Linked DNA regions of Neurospora crassa OR74A. The protein of the gene in region 2 interacts with the protein of the main gene of each other region in a biochemical or structural test. Links are inferred from orthologs where the notes say so. Each region holds a gene or a part of one and is shown on either strand. Other genes may lie near its edges. The genes, in order: NCU06617 and NCU10397.

Evidence for each region.
Region 1: the proteins of NCU10397 (region 2) and NCU06617 form a complex in vitro, tested with the Schizosaccharomyces pombe proteins (2 studies listed by BioGRID). The link is inferred for Neurospora crassa OR74A from reciprocal best matches to the Schizosaccharomyces pombe genes pik1 and cdc4.

The regions. Positions count from the first base shown.
Region 1 is NC_026504.1:1,811,906-1,822,313, reverse strand, and holds NCU06617 (myosin regulatory light chain cdc4), read right to left. Parts: upstream 6,089-10,408; 5' UTR 5,958-6,088; coding exon 5,955-5,957; intron 5,414-5,954; coding exon 5,260-5,413; intron 5,186-5,259; coding exon 4,952-5,185; intron 4,865-4,951; coding exon 4,836-4,864; 3' UTR 4,591-4,835; downstream 1-4,590. Other genes in the region: NCU06618 (metallopeptidase MepB), read right to left, coding at 1,444-2,553, 2,617-3,402; NCU06616 (S-adenosylmethionine-dependent methyltransferase), read right to left, coding at 6,452-7,391, 7,479-7,492; NCU06615 (hypothetical protein), read left to right, coding at 8,353-8,602, 8,695-9,056. UniProt on the Schizosaccharomyces pombe protein: Involved in cytokinesis. Required for the formation and function of the contractile ring.
Region 2 is NC_026503.1:1,280,315-1,291,711, reverse strand, and holds NCU10397 (phosphatidylinositol 4-kinase PIK1a), read right to left. Parts: upstream 5,688-11,397; 5' UTR 5,257-5,687; coding exon 5,177-5,256; intron 5,022-5,176; coding exon 4,835-5,021; intron 4,764-4,834; coding exon 2,294-4,763; intron 2,236-2,293; coding exon 2,031-2,235; intron 1,966-2,030; coding exon 1,926-1,965; 3' UTR 1,464-1,925; downstream 1-1,463. Other genes in the region: vad-3 (zinc finger transcription factor 1), read left to right, coding at 1-169; NCU10675 (methionine permease), read right to left, coding at 6,351-7,151, 7,205-7,306, 7,372-7,966, 8,073-8,226, 8,412-8,583; NCU06406 (hypothetical protein), read right to left, coding at 10,673-10,812, 10,881-11,009, 11,114-11,397. UniProt on the Schizosaccharomyces pombe protein: Acts on phosphatidylinositol (PI) in the first committed step in the production of the second messenger inositol 1,4,5,-trisphosphate. PIK1 is part of a nuclear phosphoinositide cycle and could control cytokinesis through the actin cytoskeleton.

The DNA.
Region 1 (10,408 bases), on a different chromosome or scaffold from region 2:
GCCGCTCGATGGGCGCCACGGAGTACGGACTATCACGGGACACCCTCGGTGATATGCACAGCGAGGCTCGCCCATAGAGCCTGACCAATGATGGTGCCTCAAAGCTCTAGCTATGTAACCGGATCCCGAGGTTACTCCAATTGCCAAGAGCATTCTGGGGTCTCTCGGACCTGATGATCTTGGTAGAAGAATCGATGAAACGAGATAGGACGTCGTCGCCGTCGCCGCATGGCCGAATCTACGAACATGGATGGTCCGACGAAGTACCTTTCAAGTACCTTCGCCGTCCAGGGGAGGGTGCCATGCCAGGACCCTGGGAGGTGGACACTCGTGCGGGCGCTTGGTTCCGATCATCGGCCGTGCATATCTGGGGTCGCCTTGCCTAGCCTAAATCTGTCCAGTCTGTTGTGAGTGTCGATGAGCTTGGGAACCAAAGTTGAAAGGTTAATAAGGTGTATGGGGTCGACACGAAGAATCATATTGTCAGAAAAGTCTGGATGTTGATGTTGAGCCTGCTCTCTTGGATGATAGGGAATGGAGAGGACCTGACTGACTCACCGCCGGGAAAAAGGCCTGGACCGGATAGTCATTCCTTCAGATGTCCCAACACGCAGGATAATAAAATAACTCGGCAAAAAAATGAATGAGGATGGTGATGGAAGGGAAAAATGCACATGTCGAATTGGGAAGAGTTGAGCCAACTAGATAACCTCCTCGAAATTGATTTCCTTCTTCTGTTCTATGTGGTAGCACAATATGTTAGCGAACCTGATAGAACAGAAACCGTTGTAGCAACGCGGCGGTAGTTCTTGTGATGCTCTCATCAATTCCTGTTCCTCCTGAAGTGTGCTGCAATATGCTTCATTTTGTGGCAGATCCTCTCTCTCGGTGACGTGGTCTCAACAACTGGACCGCCTTCAGCAGATGGGTCGCCCTAGATAACTCGACCGCACTCAACAGATGACCCTCCATCGGCAATGGAATCTGCCCCAGCAAGAGGGACTTCCCTCAGAAAGGGTGATGCTCAATGGCAGGATCCTCCTCACTCGAGGCGCCCTCAATGACGGGGTCTCGTCCAGCGAAGGAACTTCCCTTCAACAACGGTTCTTCCATAGGTTCAACCAGCCCCAGCTCCATGCAAAACGCATCGGTGGTTGGTTTGCGACCCAGGAACTGCTCAAGTATGAGCATCTCGTCTTGCGACGCGCCCTTTTCGAGAACCGTGTGTCTGAATCGGTGACCTTGAGATTTATCCATCGGATCTTTAGCAAAGGCGAAGTAAAACATGTCGTAGGAGTAGGTGTTAGACCAATGGTAACTGTATAATCCGGCATCGTAAGCATAAAACAGATGCTGAAGATTGCCATGCCCATGCGTCCTACCATGAACTGTCAGATACCTACCAAGATACGAAGGAAGTAATGAGGTTGACAGCATTAGAGCTTACATCGGTTCACCAATAGCTTCGGGTCCCTTCATTCCTGTTAGTTCGTTTCTCAATTCGTTGTATCGCTTGGTAAAGTCCATGTTTTCAAGGGCAGCGCGTGATTTGGGCGAATGAACCTCCATGTCAAAAATCGCGGATGATAACTGCCACAAGTTCCTCAACGCCTGAAGGAAATGTCTGCTTGCCGCAATCCGCTCGGCCATGTCGTCAGACATCTGCTCGCCTGTTAAATAATGTTTGCTGATGCGTTTGATATACTCGGCTCTCCATGTCCAATGTTCAAGCATCTGGCTAGGGGCTTCGACAAAGTCTCGCTTGCCTGCTGTCCCGTGATGACGAGAGAAGCGAGTGCGTGAAACCAGAGAGTGAATCCCATGTCCCAATTCATGAAATAGGTCAACAATATGTTCGTGGTCAAGGAGTGACGGTTTGTCCTTGGTTGGCGCAGGGAAGTTGCAAACAATAGCCGTGGATGGGTAAAACCTCGTACCGTCCGTTCTCTGGTGCCCAAGTTCCAGGGGGAAATTTGCTACGTGTCTGTATTTGCCCTCGCGTGGATGGGCGTCGATGTAAAGGTATCCCAGAAAGTCATTACCCTCGGATTCGTCATTCCACACACTAAACATGATAGTGTCCCTGTGATACATGACATCATCGGCGACGCCAGTAGGGGAGATACGCTCAAGATCCTCTGCGGTCAACCTAACGAAAACGATGCCAAAGAGCACCCCAAAGAGGCGGAGCATGCCTGTGATTGCGGAATCGATCGGGAAGTATTCGGCAACCTTCTTGTTGTCAAGGTCATGTTCTTGCTTGGAAATTTGGGAGGCGTAGAAAGCCCAGTCCCAGTGATAGAAACTGCCATCAAACGGCAAGTTTCGAGTCTCGCAGTCCTTCTTCTTAGTTTGTAGTAGTTGGTTGAGCTCTTTGGTGGCAAGGGGTGCAAGGCGGGTTCGTAAGTCATTCAGCAAGTTGTTGACAGCCCTAGGTGTCTTCGCCATTCGGCTTTCAATCCTCAATGTGGCATGATCTGGGTAACCCAAGAGGCGAGCAGCCTCGTCTCGGAGAAGCATGGCTTCTTTAAAGAGCGGGACGTTTTCTGGGCACTAACGGGGCATTGTCAGTAGGCTTTTGTAAGCATCAGTAACCACTTACCATGTACAGCGTACTTTGTTCTCCATGGCAGTCCACATGCGCTTTCGAGCCTCCGAGTTCTTGACGTCTCTGAGAAAGATGTCGTAATGACTGGGGTCGAAGGTGACCTTAAGTCTGCCTTCATTCTCGCCCGTTCCCTTCGCCAACTGGTCAATAATATCGTTGTCCATGCCATCCAACTCTGCAGGGGTAAACCAGTTGCAGCCTTTATCAGAAGCGTGGTGGTTCTTGAACTCGCTCTTGATTGCCTCCACGCGCTTTTGAATTTGATTGAAGCGATCACGCTGGGGTTTGGACGGTAAACCCAATCCTAACCTGATTGCCTCTTTCCACTCTTCCTCCAGAGCGATAGCACTCTCAGCATCCTCAAAACCTGCATTCTTTGCAATGTCCTCGGTTATGTACCGAGCGGAATTCTGTTTCCTACTTGCCGCGAGACCAGATTTGTGATACAGGACTTCTCTCGCACGGAAGACGTCCCCGCGCATGTTCATGTCCGTCCAGATGTTATCGTACCATTTTGCCATTTTGCGAGTGGTCTCCCGCAAATCGCTGTTCTCAGAAACGTGCTGGTAAAAGCGCAAGTTGTGCGAGAACTTTTGATTCTCAAACTCGAGTTGGGGGCGCATGACGTTCTCAAATGTGACAGTCTGCGGGTCACTCAGGTTGACATCGGCTACGATCGCATCTAGCGCAGCACGGTGTTTGTCGGCCCATGCTTCGAAGGCGGCAGTAACGCTTTCTGGGGTATGGTTTCGGAGCCCTGGGGGCTGGGGTGGGTTGTCGTACATTCCTGTCATGGCGTTTCGTAGGCGTGAGTCGTGAGATGAAGTCAGGGTCGGTGACGATAGCTGAACGAGTTTCTCCTGTCCCTTCCCAGGTGCTGATGATGATAGAAAGAAAATGGTCGATAACGTGGCGAGATGTTGTGCTTATATGTCCAGTGCGATAGATCCAAGCAACTCCCAAGATACCTCCACATCCAAACGTGAATCACCCATTCGAAGCCATTGTTGGAGCATGTCCCACCCATCCAGATGGTGCCTGTCTTCGTTATGATTGTCTGTCGTTTGCGTGAATTTCGAAATTTGCTCAGTGGTCATCATCGATTTTGATGTTGTTGAGGGCAAACAGATGTCGTCCGCGGCTTGTATGTTTGAGTGTCGTCCGTCGTCGAGGTCGTCGTGATTGTTGGTAGATATCGGTTTGGCTGTCGAACAGACAAGAGGCGGCAACGTAGTTCCCCGTTGAAATTTTGATCAGAAAATTTCTCGCCAAATTGCGTGATCAGTCAAGAAAATGCCCAGCCTTGCAAATACGGGATAGAGATGGTGTCATTTAGGACAGTTCCTTCAGTTCTTCACTACTTAGCCGAGGGAAAAGAAGGCACGGGTGATGGCCGTCAGCGGAGGACAGGGGCTCCATAATTGACAAGACCGATGCAAGCCGCTGGGGAAATGTCCAAGATGTCCGGCTTCCGCGACCGGACATTGTAAGTTACCAGTCTACTGCAGGAACATTACATAGATGCTTTAGATAATGCAGTATTTGAGTACTGGTTACCCCCTCTCTGGTCATCCAACACAGGAATTAACATCTCCAAAGATACCGCCAAGTGATACACCTTGCTTCCACTTCCTGACCGTACCCAGACTGAAGGCCGGAAAAGGGACATCGGAATCCCCACATCCCCTTTGAGCCCGAATTCGAAGGAAGACGGAAACGTGTTTGGCCTTGTTTCCAGTGACTATACAAACTCCAGGGCCTTGTTTTCTCATATTCATCCTTTGTGATGTTTCATGTCATTTGCCTTACCCGAAGCAAACTGACAGGGTCGAGCCCTTTTTCGAGTAGAGCGAAAAGGGATTCATGACGAATATTGTACTGCTGAGTACTGGGCAAACAACGTATACTTGGAAACACGCCTCCGTCACGCAAGAGAAGGGGACGGAAGAAAGATCAGGCGTGGAACCCAATCTAGCGTAGTTGGTTAAGACACACGTCCGGAAAGCCTTTCAGTTCCCGGTAAATGATATGTCCAAATTCATATCTTATCAAGACTCCGACGCCTGCCTGGATTATAACACATGCGATTTCCCTGTAATAGATGGTATATGACGCCTTCTCCGTGGACGGATTTGTCCCGCGATTTCTATTCGACTATGCCCCATGATGTTTGACCTCCAAACCCAGTTTCCCTCGTCATCATTCCGTACCACCTCTACTCAATATTTTAGTTGGCAAGGATGGTCCGGACAAGCTCTGTTTGCGTCGTACACATATTGTTAGTCGAGACTCCTAGGTTTCACGCAAAGGGCAAGCAAACAGCAAGTGCTGAGGCTGACATACCGGTATAGTTCACCTGGCCGGAGCTAGTATCAACGGCCTTGAGGAGCTCGTCTACCTCCTCGTCCGTCATCTTCTCGCCAAGGTTTGTCAAGATGTACTTGAGCTGTCCAACGCCGATGAAACCCGTCATGTCCTTATCAAACACCTGGAAACCGCGGCAGTACTCTTCGGGCTCGCCGGGATCACGGAAGCCACCTGGCCGGTTGAGGACGCGCTGGAAGGTCTCGAAGTCGACTGTCGGATGAGAAGGGCATCTGTTAGTAACTAATCTCAGATGAACTACTTGTTTCCGCTCGGGTATTACTCACAATCACCACCAACGTTCTTCTCGAGCTCGCGGATCTCGGCGAGCGTGGGGTTCTGGCCGCAAGCGCGGAGCAGGTCACCCAAGCTGTCGAGGGCAACACGGCCGTTGCCGCGCTTGTCGAACAGGGAGAACGCCTCCTTGTAGTTGGTAGAAGCCTGACCGTCGAACTGGTTAGATGCCATGATTCCTGAGTTGCGCTGTCGCAATGAAATGTTCTTTCAAGAATGCGGGTATGTAGTAAATCGCGGTAGGTTGAGCGTAAGCAAAAGCGCTGGCTTTGCGATCGTGCTAGAGTCGGCAATCGAGAGGACGAGGGCGATGGTTGCGAGAACAAGGCGCAGAAACCCAAGCGGCAAGGGAGCAGCGATGCGATCGAAAGTTGGCAAAATGAATGGTGTTTTTTTGGTCTGTGATGGATGGATGCCGAAGCAGGACCTGGCAGCTCAACGCTCAAGCCGGGCGCAGGCGCAGGCGCATTTTACAGGTAGTGCTCCGATTCAACGCAGAACGCTGCGGCTTCCAAGGTTGTGGCACCTTGTGCCTTTGTTGTCATGGGCAACCGCGGGGTTCCTGGCTCTTGCTTTCGCATGCTTTCTGTTTCCGTGCGTCGGGGTTGGGACTTGGGATGGAGGGATGGAGAGGGGCGCGCGCGCGTGCCAGTGCCCGCGGCGGATGAACAGGGACAGGTCCACTTACCATTGTGTCTCAGGGGGGGGAATGTCGTTTGAATGCGCAAAAGAGGACGCAAGGGCTAGTCGATGCAAGTACGCTGGCTGATGGATTCGATGCGAAAGATGATGCTATTCAGAAGAACGGTCAAGAAGCGAACCAAGGCTAGATGCAAAAGGAGTGGGCGATCGATTTGGGCTTCCCTTCCCGCCGCGAAATGAGCTGCGGACAGGGAGTTGCGCTGACTGGTCTGTGCCATTACGCAGTACCCGACCTTATGCGCCCGCATCCCGGTCGCGGTGGCAGCCAATGGAGGGCAACCACCCACTGGCACTGGTGACAACTCGCGATACAGCAGCACTGCATGCCCGCTAGCTCAATCGAGAGAGACATCTACTGACAGAGAGCACCTTGGTTACGCAAGGGGGCCGGTGATACTGCCCGGATAGCAGGTTCAACGTCAGCCACCACCACTGTACAGTATCGTCTCTTCACCACACTTAATTGTACACTACCTTTCCAGTTCATCGTCTCTTCGCCATCAACAAAACGGTTCCCCAAATAGCATCAACCTCGATTTCGGCCCATCGATCCCCCGCCGCTTTCCATTCCGGCACCGCAGCAACAACCTCGTCAAACATCAAGTCAACAATGTCGCCCTCTCCTCCGTCCGCCCTGCACTTCATCTGGGGATGGGCGCTTCCCCAACCACTGAAGGCACTGAACGTGCGAATATAGCTCGCCAACTCGCCCAACTTGAGCCTCCGACGCAACCAAGTGGCCTCTTCCGGAGCATCGCTAATGTCGCCCGTCTCACGATTGGGATCCCAAGCAATACGGACCACATGTTCCCATTCCCTCTCGGGAGGGACCACCTCCCGCAGTGAATCCCGTAATATGTTCCGGCCGGGTTGTTCCCAAAAGCACATCATGCTTTCCACGCCCGGCACCGGCTCTGTCTCGCCGTAGATGAACCTGTCAAAGATGGGCGTTGTTTCCGGCCGCCCAACGATGATGTGGTCCTTGTAACCCCAGAAAGCCAGGGTTCCGCCGCGCTTCACGACCCGTGCAAGTGCTGGCCAGACCTTGGAGTAGTCAAACCAATGCGCCGCTTGGCCAGCAACCACACAGTCAACGGCATTGTCGTCAAGGAAAGAAAGGTCCTCGGCTCCGCCTTGCTTGAACGTAATCTTGGAGTTGTCGCCGGTTAGCTTGCGAGCCTGTTCAATCATGCCGGCCGAAGGATCAAGGGCGATAACACGGTTGAAATAGGGAGCGAGTGCGCGCGCCACTAAGCCATGTCCGCAGCCAAGGTCTAGCAGTGTTCCAGCTGCCGGCGAAGACGACGATGGTGATGGGGAGGAAGGGGCCTCTTTGCCGTGAAATCTCAACACCCGGTCGTAAAGAACCGAGGGATATGAGGGCCGAAAGGCAGCATACCCAGCAGAGGAGAACGTCGAGCGGCTATCGTGGAAACATGTCAATGATTACAGTAAGCAATGCGCCAATGCTGTCAGTAGGCAAGTATGTAAACAAGAGGTGGAGACTTACCCGAAGATGGACATTCTCAAAGACCACCCAAACAAACGCACCAAATCACAAACAGTGGATCCAAATTAACTCCGAGTGGTCAGTAAGATAGTCCGTTGTGGAATTCTGTGCCTGATGTTGTGATACCAATATTGTCTGGGGAAACAGGCAAGCTGAATTCTCCCGTCAACGGCACAAGGCTTTTTATATCCAATACCGAGGCGTTGAGACGGCTCATGGATGGCGACATCCTTATCATCCTTCCTTGGCTCGCTCCTCCCAGGCATCACCCGCGCCGGCATTCCGAATGATCCTTTGGTTCTCTGAACAAGTGACTGATCGCCGAAGTTCACGGATCCGACGATTTCCGTCGAAGCCTCGGTTGCGTTACATCACCTGACCTTGATTCACCGAACAGCAACTGCGACATTGGAACAATTCCAAATCAGGAACGGGCATTCGATGAAAGATGTCGCCATTGGATAGATGTCGATAATCCAATACCCGAAGATATGCAGTTACACAAGAAACCATCAGGATCAATTACTGATTACATAGTTGTGGTGGGGGCTGAGCGCACCAACATCACAGGTACCCCTACGGCACGCGGTGGGCACGTCATCGGGGTCCTCGTAGATAGCGCGGGGTTGCCTGGGATATGGCTGTTTGAGTGGTTAGCTTCCTACGGGATCTGCTCAGGGGCCCAGGGGGCGTAGACACGGGAAAATAGCATCACCTCGACGGCGAGGTCAACTAACTCCATCAACACCCGAATGTCGCCATGGAGACATGTCCTAGAATAGAGTGGGCAACTTGACAACCTAAGCTCACCTTGGTGCAACTTTGATTATTTGTCAGGGAACTAGTCTTTCCGGCAAACATATAAACCGACCTTATGTCCCTGATATCGCAGTCTCCTTTTGTGTTTCTAAAACACATCCTCAAACCTAGCACAAGATATCCAGCCCGCTTTCAACAGCATCTACCACACTATATCACCCCAAGCTATCAACAACACCACTTCTTTACGTCAACACCAAACCTCAAAATGTCCGCCAGCGACGCAACGGCCAAGATCTTCTTCTCCTCCCCCAGGTTCGCCGTAGTCGGCGCCAGCACTAACACGGAGAAGTTCGGTTACAAAGGTTCGTTTCGTCCTTTCTTCTCCCGTGTCCCCATCCATCCCTTACCCACAACCTCCACCCACATTATCCACACACCACTAACACCTATCCAGTCTTCAAATGGTATGCAGACCGTGACCTCCCCGCCACGCCCATCAACCCCCAGGGCGCCACCCTCACTGTCAACGGGCAACCCTACCCAGCCATCAAGTCCCTCTCGGAGCTCGAGAACCCCAAGGAGACGTCGGTTTCTATCATTACCGGTCCCGCCATCACGCTCAAGACGCTCCAGGAGGCCAAGGAGCTCGGCGTGCCTGCTGTCTGGCTCCAGCCGGGAACTTTCAATGATGAGGTATTGGCATATGCGAATGAGAATTTCCAGGCGGTCGTGGCTGGGAAGGGAGGCTGGGGAGGGGAGGGGTGGTGTGTGTTGGTTGATGGGGAGAGAAGTTTGGCTGCTGCTAGTAGACTCTAGGTTGAAGCAGGTGTCAGGTCGGGTTGTGAAGAGTTGATAGGGAGGTTGAATGGTCTTTATGAGGATTTGATGATCTCTAACATTTGTCAGTTTCTGTGTGTCTGGTTATGAGGTTTGGGCCTGGCTACATATATATTTATATGTACAATTCATCACTGGTTTATTTGCTTGTCGAAACCTACGCTTAACGTTCCTAGGCGTTGCCACATCCATTACCTGTTCTTTCTGATCATGGCACTCCCGATCTTGAATATTGCAGCTTGGGTCTTGAAAGTTGAAACATTCTGTTCAGGTAACATCTAGACCCTTTCAGGTACCCTTACCATTCCCACCAACCCATCGTAACGCTCTAGTTGTACTTTCCCGATTTTACAATCAGATGCCTCAAGTTCCTACATCTGTTCAACTATACCTTTTGAGCAAAGTCTCGAATTCGTTTCGTCTCAATTCCTAAGAAACAAAAAGAAAGACATGAGAGGCGGTTTCCACAATGGAATCAGAAAAAATAGCAAAAGATTAGTGACAAGAGTGGGATTCGAACCCACGCCCTTTCGGACTGCGATACTCAGATATCCTGAACACAGCGCCTTAGACCGCTCGGCCATCTTGCCTGTAATTGTTGTTGTTAGTGACTCTCAGATTTCAAGCCTATAAGCGTAGATACAGATGTCCGGTGACAAGTCCAGCTGGATGTCCGCGCTCCCATCCCTTGTGTAAATTACACGTACGGGCACCGGGTAGCATGATTCTCTCCTCTACGTCCATTCCACTCCACTCCACCATTTTGTATCTTCCTCCCGTTCCCCAGCCACTGGCAACCATTCGACAAGGGGCGACAACTGCACTCTGGATTCGCGATCCGACTTCAACTTCACACCTACAGCCACCCGAAAAGCTACAAACAGTACTTATACTGATATCAGACTTCAAATAGCAAAAGCTGATGGCAGTCATAATGAAGAGCTTGGAAATGAACACGACGATCGCACAGGCCACTCCACACAAGCCTGGTCGAAGGAAAAAGAGACGAAGCAACCAATTTCACCTTACCCGTCAATAAGCGACGGGTAGTCTAAAATAGAACAAGGAAGGCGCATGGCAGTGGATCCTGGACATTGTGGGAAGAGCCGTCCCCGCCGACATTGGTTGTATCCGGGGAGACAAGATGCATAAGAATCGCCCGAAATCGGGGACAAGCTACGTTATCTGCTATACCTATGCTATCTATCCTACAGATATCAGAGTTGCCTTTCACTTCCCCTCATCACCCGCTCGCTGTCCGGTTCCCTCTACTGAAACGTAACACCCAGGCTCTTGTCATCTCTGGCTTACTCTTAAGGTCTCATCAGCAT
Region 2 (11,397 bases):
GTTTAATATGGAACCGCCGGAGATTGGGGGGGATACGCTGGGCGGTCTTGGAGGAGCATTAGGCGGTGGGGGGTTGGATAGTTTTGCCGGGATGTTTGGGGTGGGTGCTGGCGGAGGTGGTGGCGGTGGTGGTGGTGGGGGAATGGGAGGGATGCATCATGGGCATTAAGCGGGGGGGGGGAAACGGTTTCCTTTTTCTAGAAAGGATGATGAGTTATGAGTGATACAGGATGGGGATACCGGTCAATTTTGGATAACGGTCGGTCATCTGGATATTGGGACGAACAACAACAACGATCGATGCCACTAGTAGTGTGATGTATACATGATACCTTTTCTTTATTTTATCATAATTAGTTTCTTTTTATCACGTCGGGTGTTTCAACAGACATAGGCGGAAGCAAGCGATCAAAGAAGAGCGAGCGGATAGGTCTCTTTTTTGCAATCCCCCTTTTTTTTTCTTCTTCTTTATGTTTTCAACTACATAACCATCTTTTCCACATAGGGTGTGTCGGAAGGCCAATTCGGGAGGGGTTGGGGGGTTCGGGGGCGTAGGGGCATAGGGGCATAGGGGCACGATAGGGCGGGCGGGCGTATCAGGATTAATACAATACCACAAAGACAGAACAGAACAGAACAGACGTACGTGGAGTTTAATACTGCTTTGAACAAACATGTCACAGGTTGCTCAACTGTGACATTAGCTACCTATATAAGCGTGCATTAGATGTTCTCTCCAGCCAACAAAACATTCTTCCATCTATCTTTTGGTGGTTAGGCGAATTGGCATTTGCACGCCCTTTTGCGCTTTGACAAACCAGCTCGAGTAAGTATGGTATGGTATCATGAAAAAAAGAAATCCACTTTTTTGCCTATGTACCATTCTAGTCTAGTCGGTCGTCTGATGCAGGTGGATGGATTTAAATTGTCAACTTAAACTTTACTGACTATTTTCTGACCTTGAACCTGTTCGGTGAGTCCAGCATAGTGCGTAAAGAAGGATGGAGGAAAACCAATAAAGCGGAAAGAAAAAAAAGGAAAGGAGAGGAAAGAGTAAGTGGGAGAAGAAGATAGAATGCAAGAAGTGGAAACAAAACAAGCAAGCTGCCATTCGCACCTTGTTTTTTTTTTTTTTCAGTAATTCTTTTTTTATCTTTATTTTTTTTTCTATCTTGGTGATACACGACTAACTCCCGTATCTCGGAAACGGAGAGAGAGAGAGAGAGAGAGAGAGAGAGAGAGAGAGAGAGAGAGAGAGAGAGAGAGAGAGAGAGAGAGAGAGAGAGAGAGAGAGAGAGAGAGAGAGGAAGCAGACGATGTAGTAACATCCGAAGTTATGGAGGTACGAAACGAACGGGGAAACGAACGAACGGGAAAAGACCATGAAGTGACGGAGAAAGTGAGCAAAGGAGTCAAGGCAACAAAAAACTCAAAGACAACAAACCAAACAGAAAATCCAAAAAAAATTGGTAAACACATGGATGCCGCTTATAGAATAGTAACTAGTATGATAAGACACTATCATAATCCATAAAAGCCTCTATGGTGGTACCCATTATAAACGCCGCCGAGATGCCCTTTCTTGAATTGATTGAACTTTCCCCTTCCAAAATTCAACACCTTCTTCTCCGCTCTTCGCTCGCCTTCTTCGTTATGGAGTTTGCCGTGCTTTGACATCGGGAATTCCCACCGTGTGATATATACGTTTAGATCCTCCCATGCCCTCCTCATACAAAAACGAAGGGGTATTTCCACCTTGTCTCCTCCATTCATCCATCCCATTACCGATACGTTCTTTCATCCGTCCGACCTTTCCATTCATTCCTCTCCAAATTTCTTTCGTCCCTCCTCCCCATCTGCGTCTCCTGTTTCAGGTGATATCCCATACACGGGACTAATCGCCCTTGTAGATCCTGCAAATCTGTCTAGTAGATACCCTGTGTTCTATACTGGAAAGTGTCGTAACTGTTTAAGGCCTTTTGTTAGCATACCCATTCCAATCGGATCAAGTATTGTCCCGAACAACTTACAGTCGCGTATAATAACTTCCCAACGACTTGGCAATTAGATCCGTCTCCACAAACTGTTCCGCCTCGTCTTTACTCAGCTGCAGCTGGAACCTTGCCCTGAGCGAGGTCGTTACCTGCGAGATGCCCGCACCAAAGCAAGGCATCTTGGATTCTCGACCCATCATGGCGACGAGGTCGATGATGTTGTCTGCTGAACGACGGAGGGCTATAACAGTCGTTAGTTATTTATGCCTGGTACGAGTGATGAGAGAGAGAGAACCTACCCTGGAAAGCCTGTTTGCAGAGTTGCTTAAAGTCTGCAAAATCCTGCGAGTCCACGCCACCCAGCACATCCAGATATTCATATGTAAACTTGAACGGCGCCGCCTCGAACCCAACCGAACCGGGCGAGTTTGACAGCATGAAGCCAAAGTCAATGTGAATGATGTGCCCCTCATTATCGATAAGGACGTTACCGTTGTGCCTATCCTTCAGCTGCAGCACATATGAGATGATGCTATACGCCGCCAGTGACCTCTTGAACGCGTCCACAGCTGACCTGTACGCCTGGCTCTCGGGCAAACCGAACGCCTTGACGAAATGATCCTTGAGCGTCGCGATCCTCCTCCTAGGGTTTTGACCGGACTCGACCGTGGCCAGTGTCAAGCTGCGCTTGATGGAGTGCAGCGACACGCCGTTGGCAATGGTCTCTATCAGACCGCACGACTCGCCCGTAACAAGAATGCGCATGAGCTTCACCCAGACGGGCACGTTGTGCTCTACCCAGATCTTGTGGCACACGCGGATCAGCTGGCAGGCGAATGCCTCCTGACGGAGATCCGCACCCGTTTTGACAATGACGCTGACGAGATCCCAGTTCTTCATCCAGCCGTAAGGAGAGGACTTGCGGATACGCTCCTTCTTCATCTCCCAAGCTTCTCCGAAGACGGCAGCGCTGGGATCATCACGATCGCCCTTGCGCTGGAGACCGCCTGTCTTGATATCGTTTTCCATCCTTGCTAGACCGGCGTTTGGATTCACGTTAGACTCGACCTTCTCCAGGGGAGCCTCGATTTCTTCGTCCGTGGCGACATTGCCGTTGATAACGTTTTCTGCACTGGCCTTGGCCATAATCATGTCGAAGGTCGGCCCTTGGCTATCATGGACTTCAAAACTCTCCTCCTCCAGACTCTGCATGCTGGCAATAATCTTTGCCCTGATTGCGGCCACTTCATGACGCGGCCGCTTGCCACTTGTTGCATCCAACTGCGCCAACATTTGCGAGGCTGTCCGCATATGGATGGCAAGGGCAGAGAAATCAGGTTGGTCGGCGGCCGCGTTGTTGCGCGGACTTTGGAGGGTCATCCTCCTGAAAGGTGGGGTAGAGGATCCCGAAGTGCCAGAACTGCGAGGCGTTGACGTCAGATCAACAAATTGTGTCGAGCTGGTCCCAGTAGTGGCAGCATGGCGGAGACCGCCAGGAACGGGGTTATGCTGTATGGCAAAGGGCTCGTCGTTGAACGGTTTTATTAGTGGCGAGTGCCCTAGATCCCCCGAGGAAGGCTCAAAAACACTATCGATGACGGGCTCCTGTGAACGGGGTGTGGCTGGTATCCTAGAAGACTCGGAAAGGTCAAAAATCCGCCTCCTGGTTCCTTGTTCGACCAAAAGCTGTGTCAGAAGTCTCTGATTATCTTGAGAATCCGGGTCAAATGTGAGATCTTCTCTCAAAATCTCAACCATAAGCAGGAAAGGCACTTTCTCAGCACTGTTCAGTACCGTGGCCTCAGCCGGGTTGAGACGGACTATCCTGTGATGTCGGCTCTGCGAAGGAGAGCCGTTGACCAAAGTAGGAGGGCAGATGACTGGGATATCGACCTCGGCCGGGAGTTCTTGAGCGATTAGAGCCAGCTCAGCGCGTAGGGCACTTAGGCGTGCAGCCTTTGGTACTATTACTAGTCGGTTTGAAATATCCTCTAGTGCGGTCAGGAATGCTGTTTGGCAGTGGAAGTAGTTTTGTTTTAGTAGCCGCATCTTTTGTGTGCGGCTCATGTCCGCTTGGTTCAAGAGCGTCTTGACATGGTGCGAGTGCCTCCTGTTCACTCCAGTCGTTGGCCGCAGGGCCGGAGTGGTCGGCCTGTGTACAAGACCTGGAGAATTGGCATTCGACGTTGGTAGAGGCAGTGAAGATGAACTAAGGCGCGCCTCCAAGACGTTGGAATCGAAAGGAGTAGGTCGCTTGGTCTCTACCGGCGTTTTGATAGAAGACCCCGAAGACGTCGGCCGGGAGTCAGGCTGAGGTTCCTTGATCTTGGGCTTGGGGCGATGCGCCACCGGGCTGCTGTTGTTGCTCTGGAGCTGATGGTCCGATGAGCTTGTAAGGCGGGCCTCCTTTGCCCGTCTCGATTTTGTTGTACCAGCAGTGACGGTATGCGCGCGAGCAGGTGGGGCGGCGTTGACGGGAGTAGCGTCCAACACAGGTTCGATGACTTGAGGGCGGGGCTTTCTGGCTTGCGCGACGGCAAGCGGGCCAGCCCAATGGGGGAGAAACGGGGCGGCGATACTGGCGAGAACGAAGCTCCCTAGGACAGTCACTGGCAAAGCGTTTTCCGTAATCTTCTCGTTCCTTGCACTGTCGGAGACGCCAAAGACGATATGCTGCACCTTGTTGTACACTCTCTGGCATATTTTGAAGGCATTGGCCTGTGGATTAGCGGATAGGTCGTGTAGGTATGTTTGGAAGAGCCAGAATGTCTGCGAGCGGGCGAGATATCAGCAATTCGGAGTCGTGCAAAGCGTCAGATGGTGTATAGAGGGCTGCGCACCAACAAGGCTGCTGTGACCGACTCCTCGCACAGGTCGAGGAGAAACTCCTCCAGGGCCATGGACTCATTGTCGATGCTGATGATAAGGTGACAGAGCTGAGGGAGGAAGAACTCGATGTCCTCGTAGGGGAACTGGCGCAGCTTGCTGCACAGCACATAGTGAATTCCTATGTGGTCGGCATATCGTCTGGCGGTGCGGTCATGTTAGTGTGTGTCTTGCCAGGCCAGTACTGATACGCGCCGCGCCGAGTGAGGAGGAGAGAAAGAGGAGGAGGAGGAGGAGGGGGAGGAGGAGGAGGAGGAGGGGTAGCGAATCTTGGCAAAACGGAATGGCTGACTGACGAGAGGTAGGAGACGGAGAGAAAGGGGTTTTGGTTGAAGACGTCGCTCTCGAGGAACCGCTTTAACAAGTCCCAAGACATTGGTTATGGCGCAACGAGGGTCGACCGCAGATCGACTCGGGGATTATGGGAGGAAAGAGTCAATGTCGGGCTGGCGAGGCTGAAGTGGTGAAGCGAGGCGTAGGCGTAGGTGGGAGAATCGAGCAGCTAGGTAGGTACACTCAGTCTAGACGGAAGCTAACTTGGAACTGGAGCTGGCTGGCTGGCTGGCTGGAGAATGGACGGATACAGAGGGCAGCAAGGCATGCATGCGCAAGCAATGCCTTCATCGGACTTGAACATGAACGGAGTCGACGGCGTAGGGCTGCTGGAGCATGGCTGACGGGGCCGGGCGCGCTTAGGTCGTTACTCGTTATGGTGTTGACAAGTGAGACTGAAATGTGGTGGTGGTGGTGGTGGTGGTAGAGGTAGTATTCCCAAGAAGGACACCAAAACCACTTCCTCTCGCTCGCCAGGGTGCCCGGGTGGTGTCAAGTGGTGTTCCGAAGGTGGAGGTTGGCCGTCACTGCTGTCAGGGGGGGGGGGGGGGGGCCGCAGTCCACTGAAAGGAATAATTGTTCGATACAACAACACCCGCTCGCACGGCACATTGAACGGGACCTATCCGCTAAGCCCGATGGAGCCCCGCGTCCCGTTCCCCACCTGGCCGACTTGTCCGCCTCGGCTGCAGTGTGTCCGTCCACAGCGCCTTTCCTTTGCCCTGCTACAGGCACTTGGCGTCTGCCAACGACCGCTGAAACAGTGTTCCCATCCGCTCTTGTTTCGTCTTGGCGGTTGGGATTCCCATCAACATGACACCCCAAATCATATCAATGGTCCATCTCGTATTGGGGATTCATGGAAGTGAACACGAAGATCTAACCCACCGGCATGTTGATCAGACACTTAGTGCTAGTTCCACCGGCCAAAGTAGATCGATCCCAGGGCGCTTGCGCCATCCGAAAAAGGGGCTCTGCTCCAAGGGAAAAAAAGATGAAAAAAAAGGGGTAAAAGGACACAGACTCCATCCAAAGTAAACAAATCCCCTTTTATCTTGTTCCTGAAACGAAGACGCGAATCATTGATCTACTATTCTACGTTGTATCTTCTCTACATCGACAAGTGCACACGTCCTATCACCTCCACACAACAGTCGTCCCTCCTCCTCCTCCTCCTCCTCTCCCCCCTCCCCTCCCCCCATTCCTCCTCCCTCTCGCACCACTCCTACCTCCCCTCGGCCTCACCCTCTTATACTTGACCCTCTCACTCCCATCCGGCAACACCACCACCTCGTGCTGTATAGAGAACCCAAACGCCGGCAACACCTTGGCCCAAACCACCCAATACATGACGCCGATAACCAGCATGCCCGTCCCCAGCGCCGGCACCACCGAAAAGTGAACCTTGGTCAGCAGCGTGTTCGGGATAAACGGCGCCGCACAGGTATACAGCAGCCCGACAACCCAAAACACCGTCAGGACGGGATAACTATGGAACCGCTTGTTCTCCGGCGTCGTCCAGTTCTCGCTCGGCGTAAAGTTGAGATACAGCAGCCCCACCCCCAGGAAGACCTTGATCCAGTTGCCCGAGTAGGTAAAAATGTTGGACAGAAACTGGTACACGTCCTTGGTGCTGGATCCGAGGATCAAGGCCACGGTGAAGATCCAATGCAGCAAAATGGCGCCCGTCGGCGACTTTTGCTCGGGCCAGTCGCTCGCCCAGAAGCGCGAGAAGGGGAGAGTGCCTTCCTTTGCGAGCTCCTGCTTCACACGGGGCATGGCGAAGGATTGCGCAAAGACGTTGCCGAGCGCGGAGAGGGCGAGGAAGAGAGGCATGACGCGCTCGGTGAAGGCCGAGGGACCCCAGACGCGGGTGAAGAAGATGGCGGTGGGGACGACGCCGGATTTGGAGAGTTCGTCTTTGGTCATGGCGGCGAACTGTGTGTTGTCAGTCATGGAAGTTCTTGTGAGACACTTGAGGGGATACTCACATAGGCAATGTTCGCCAGGACGTAAAGGACGGTGACCGTCCCGATGGCAATCGGCGCCGCCAGTCTCAACGTCTTCGGCGCATCCCTCACTTCGCTCAACACCTACAAACCCGTTGTTAGCATTACCTCACCAACCCATCACCGCCCACTTCCGAGGGGTCACTCACATAATTGGCATTCTCCCACCCCCCATAACTATACAAAACCTGCAACAACGCCAACGCATACCCCGCCGCACTGCCCGCGACATTATTCCCCATCCCGTCCGTCTGGTCGTCTCCATTCCCCGTGGCATCCCCCGGCCCATCAAAGCTCGAAAAGTTTCTCGGGCTTTCTCCCTCCATATTCCCCGCTAACGCCGCAAACCCCGTACATACCACCAAGATCAGCAGCACCAGCTTGAACACCCCCAAACCATTGGATAGCCAGATGCCCAACCTAGGTAAGAATGCGTGGATGAGGCAGACGGCGGTAATAGCTGCCACGGCGATGCCCCGGTTTAGCCACGTGCCTTCGTATTTGGTTGCATCTTCTTGCGCGGTGCCTCCGGTGGTGGTGGTGTCAGGAGAGCCGAGGACGCAGCGGAGGAGGTACGAGGAAAAGGAAACGGAGCCGACGGTGGAGATGGCGAAGAGGATGAATTGCACGGCGAAGATGCAGGTCGCTAGGTATTTGGGTTTGCGGTAGACGCGTTCGAGGTAAACTTTCTCTCCGCCGGAACGAGGGATGGCGGTGCCGAATTCTAGGTAGACGGCTAGCCCGCTTTTGTGGTTGAGGATGCGAGTTAGCCGCTTTTCGAGTGGTCAAAGTGGTGAAAGTACATAGAGATGGTGTAGGGCAAGGTAAGAAAGGATGATACAAAACTCACCAAAAGGTCATTACACCACCTAACACCCAGAAGAGAAGCGTGGCGCCGACGCTATTGGTGTTGTGGATGATGGAGGATGGCGTTGAGAAGATGCCGGCGCCGACGACGCGGTTAAAAATGAGGAAGGCTGTGGACCATGTTCCTAGTTTTCGCTCTGGGATTGGGTGTTAATGGAAAGTGAAGAAACGTGGAGAGAGGGAGAGCCTTAGGTGAAGAGAGAGGCGAAGAGAAAGGTTGAAGAGAGACAGAAAAGAGATTAGAGAGACTTGGAAGAGACCGAAGAGAGACTCAAAAGACCGAGACGGAAAACGCAGGTCATCAGAAGTCAAACTAACTAACCTTCAGGAAACACATAATCCCTAAAATCCTCCTCCTCCTCTCCCTCCTCACCAACCCGCGACGGACCCCTCCCATTCGCTCCATACTCGGGCATATAAATGGCATCTTCGCCCACCTCCGGATCCTTATCCTTCGAGTGGATGGATTGTTCGAATATCGTTGGTTCGTTCATCTTGAGAGATAGTTCCGCGGTCTTAGTTCCAGTTGATAATGGGGGAACCCCACGGGATGTCCAAATCGATGACCGAAATCGAGGGGAGTGATGATGCGGCTGAACACAATGAACCCAAAAGGCACCACAACCGTAGCGCTTGTGGGGGGGTTGTGTATGCAGTCCAGTCCAGTCCCGTCCCGTCCAGTTTAGTCCGGCTGAGTTATGGGGTGTTGGATGCTCTTCTTCGATTGTTGGTTGACCAGTAACTTGTATAGGTAAGGCGGGTTTTTCCAGAATACCTAGTTTCAGAGTATCTTCACAGAGCCCCGAGGGACGAAAGAAGCATACCTATCCAGGCCTCACCCCATGAACCTCAACCAAGAAATTTCGGTGAGCCTAAGGGGAAGAAAGACAACTGCGTGAGAGGCGTAACTTGACAAGTTCAGGTCAACGTGCGTTACAGAGGTTTGGGTCTCACAACCGCAGACAGACCACCTTGCGCCCGTTCGTTGTGTAGCCCACGGTCAAAACGCATCGAGTAATGGGCGTCTAGTTTAGACCTTGGTGGATGGTGTTAATGAAGACGCTCAAGGAGTGACGGCTGTCAGGGGTGGGGTGGGTAACACATGCCACATAGATCTATCTCACTCGAGGATTGAGGATGGCAAGAAATGGGTAAACGAAGTATTCTCACCTTTACCAATTTTGCCTTCGATACCTCCTTGTGCTCTTGTTTGTCTATAACCTACAATCTTTCAGGTACCGCCCATTTAGATGATCGGATAACTGCAGCTCAGAGCCTTGTTGATGTTACCTACACCGTCATCACACAGCAGTAGCAGTGTTGTTCATTGGCGGTTGATTGGCGAGCGAGGCAGACACAACGCCGCATGAGATCAAGCCAAAAGAAGCATGGAAGTTGCAAAAGAAAGAAAATAAAGAACGAGGCCTTCCTCGTGGCTAGGGGGGCGTGTCTGGCTAGTGTAGTGTAGTATAGTGTAGAGGATTGTCATCGCCGATAACTCACAACACAGCTTTCCCGCCCCATCGCCCTATCCAGTCGCCCTGCCACCGACCGTCGTTATCACAGCGCCAAGTCCCTCCAGTCGCCGAAAGAAGACAAAAGAGGCGTGCAGGACGATGCCCTGGCTCTGCAGTTTGTAAAGTGTGTGTGTGTGTGTGGTGTGGGAGCTGAGAGAGGGGACCCTGCTAGGTACATAGGTAGTGTAGTAGCCGGGCTGGTATCGTTCGTCGTCGTGGTGGTAGCCAAGACAATACCTTCCACTTACCCGAATGGCTGGCTGCGTTACAGACAAGCCTTCATGTTTGCAATCTGGGGTTTCTCAGCGGAAACACTGCGCTTTTCTCGTCCGCTGGTTTCCGTCGGCGTTGTGATTGACAGTGAGTTAGCGACACCATCAGGCAGTAGTGTAAGCTAGGAACACCACAGTTCCGAGTTTGTACCTCCACTACCCGAGGGATCAGGAGCATCGTCAGCCCCCCCCCCCCCCAAGCTTCGCCCCAGAAAAACCTCCCCATCTTTCCCACAGGGCCACAGTGAGTGATACATCACCTTCCCCAATTAAGCCTAGAGCCCAGATCTTGGCGAGGTGAGGAATGCAGGTCATGGGTAGCTTATTTTTTTCTGCTTGCTGCATGATTCCAATAAATCACTCTCCTAATCGGGTAACCATCGCTAAGCCAGAATGTCCCGAGGTTTCCCATTCGTCCAGCCGTTCTGGTTAGGCACGAGTCGTGTGAGAAAATGTGAACATCGAACATAGTCATCAATCTCTTCTCTCGGCCGCGATAGTAGGGTACAGAACTCAATTATCCGTGGTTGTTAGGTATCATGATAAGTAAACACACACTCGTATCCCCCAGTCCAGGTATCTCGCAACACATACGCATGACAGAAAGAAGAAATACACCTGTAGCCCGATCCGATCCAGCCCCAACTCCCCGCTTACCAAAACCCACTCGGCTGAGAGCAAAGGATAAAGCCACCAAAAGAGATCTTAACTATGCGATTATATCCCAACCTGTTCTCCAAACCTGTCATGGCAACGAGCTATCCCTAGAGCTCATGAGTAGCTGCGTGTTGGTATCACATCCGAATCTGCATAGCCGTCTTACCATAAAACCCTCCGACCGCTCTCAACTCCTCCTGAATATCCTTTAATTTCTCTCTCTGCTGTCGGCGTTCAGCAATGACTTCGCCCCATCTCCTGATGAAGCTGTCTTGGCCTTGAATCACCACCATTGTTGTCAACAAAATTTCTCTATCGAGAACGAAAGGGATGCGGAGAACTTACTTGGCGGGTTCTCAAACTCAATCTCAAACGTCTTATAGAGATCAAAACTGTATTCCTCATCTGGGTTGGGTGGTTGGCCGTCAATTTTGAATCCGGCCATTTCCGAGTCGCCTCTTTGCTCAATGTGTGCTGTGTGGTGATACAAGCCATTAGTTACCTCACCCATCAAGCCACGGAAATAGCTGAGAGAGCGTATATGAGCATGTGAGAAGAAACAAAAACAAGGGACAAACCTTTAATCCCCTTCCATCTGCTCCCTTCTCGACTAAACACCCCCGCCTTCCTCGGCCTCAGTTTAACCTTTGTCTGCCCCTCCGCCTTCACCTCAATATCATCTGTGATAAAAGTCTGGACATACTCTCCCAACCGTCCCAAGTACACAATCAACTTGCTGGAACTAGCAACCTGCTTATCGCGAAGCGGTCCCGACAAGGCCGTACCAGCAGTCACAAAACTCGCCTTATCCGATTGCATCCCTCTGCTTCGGCTTGTTGAGGCAAGATCCTCGTGCCATATC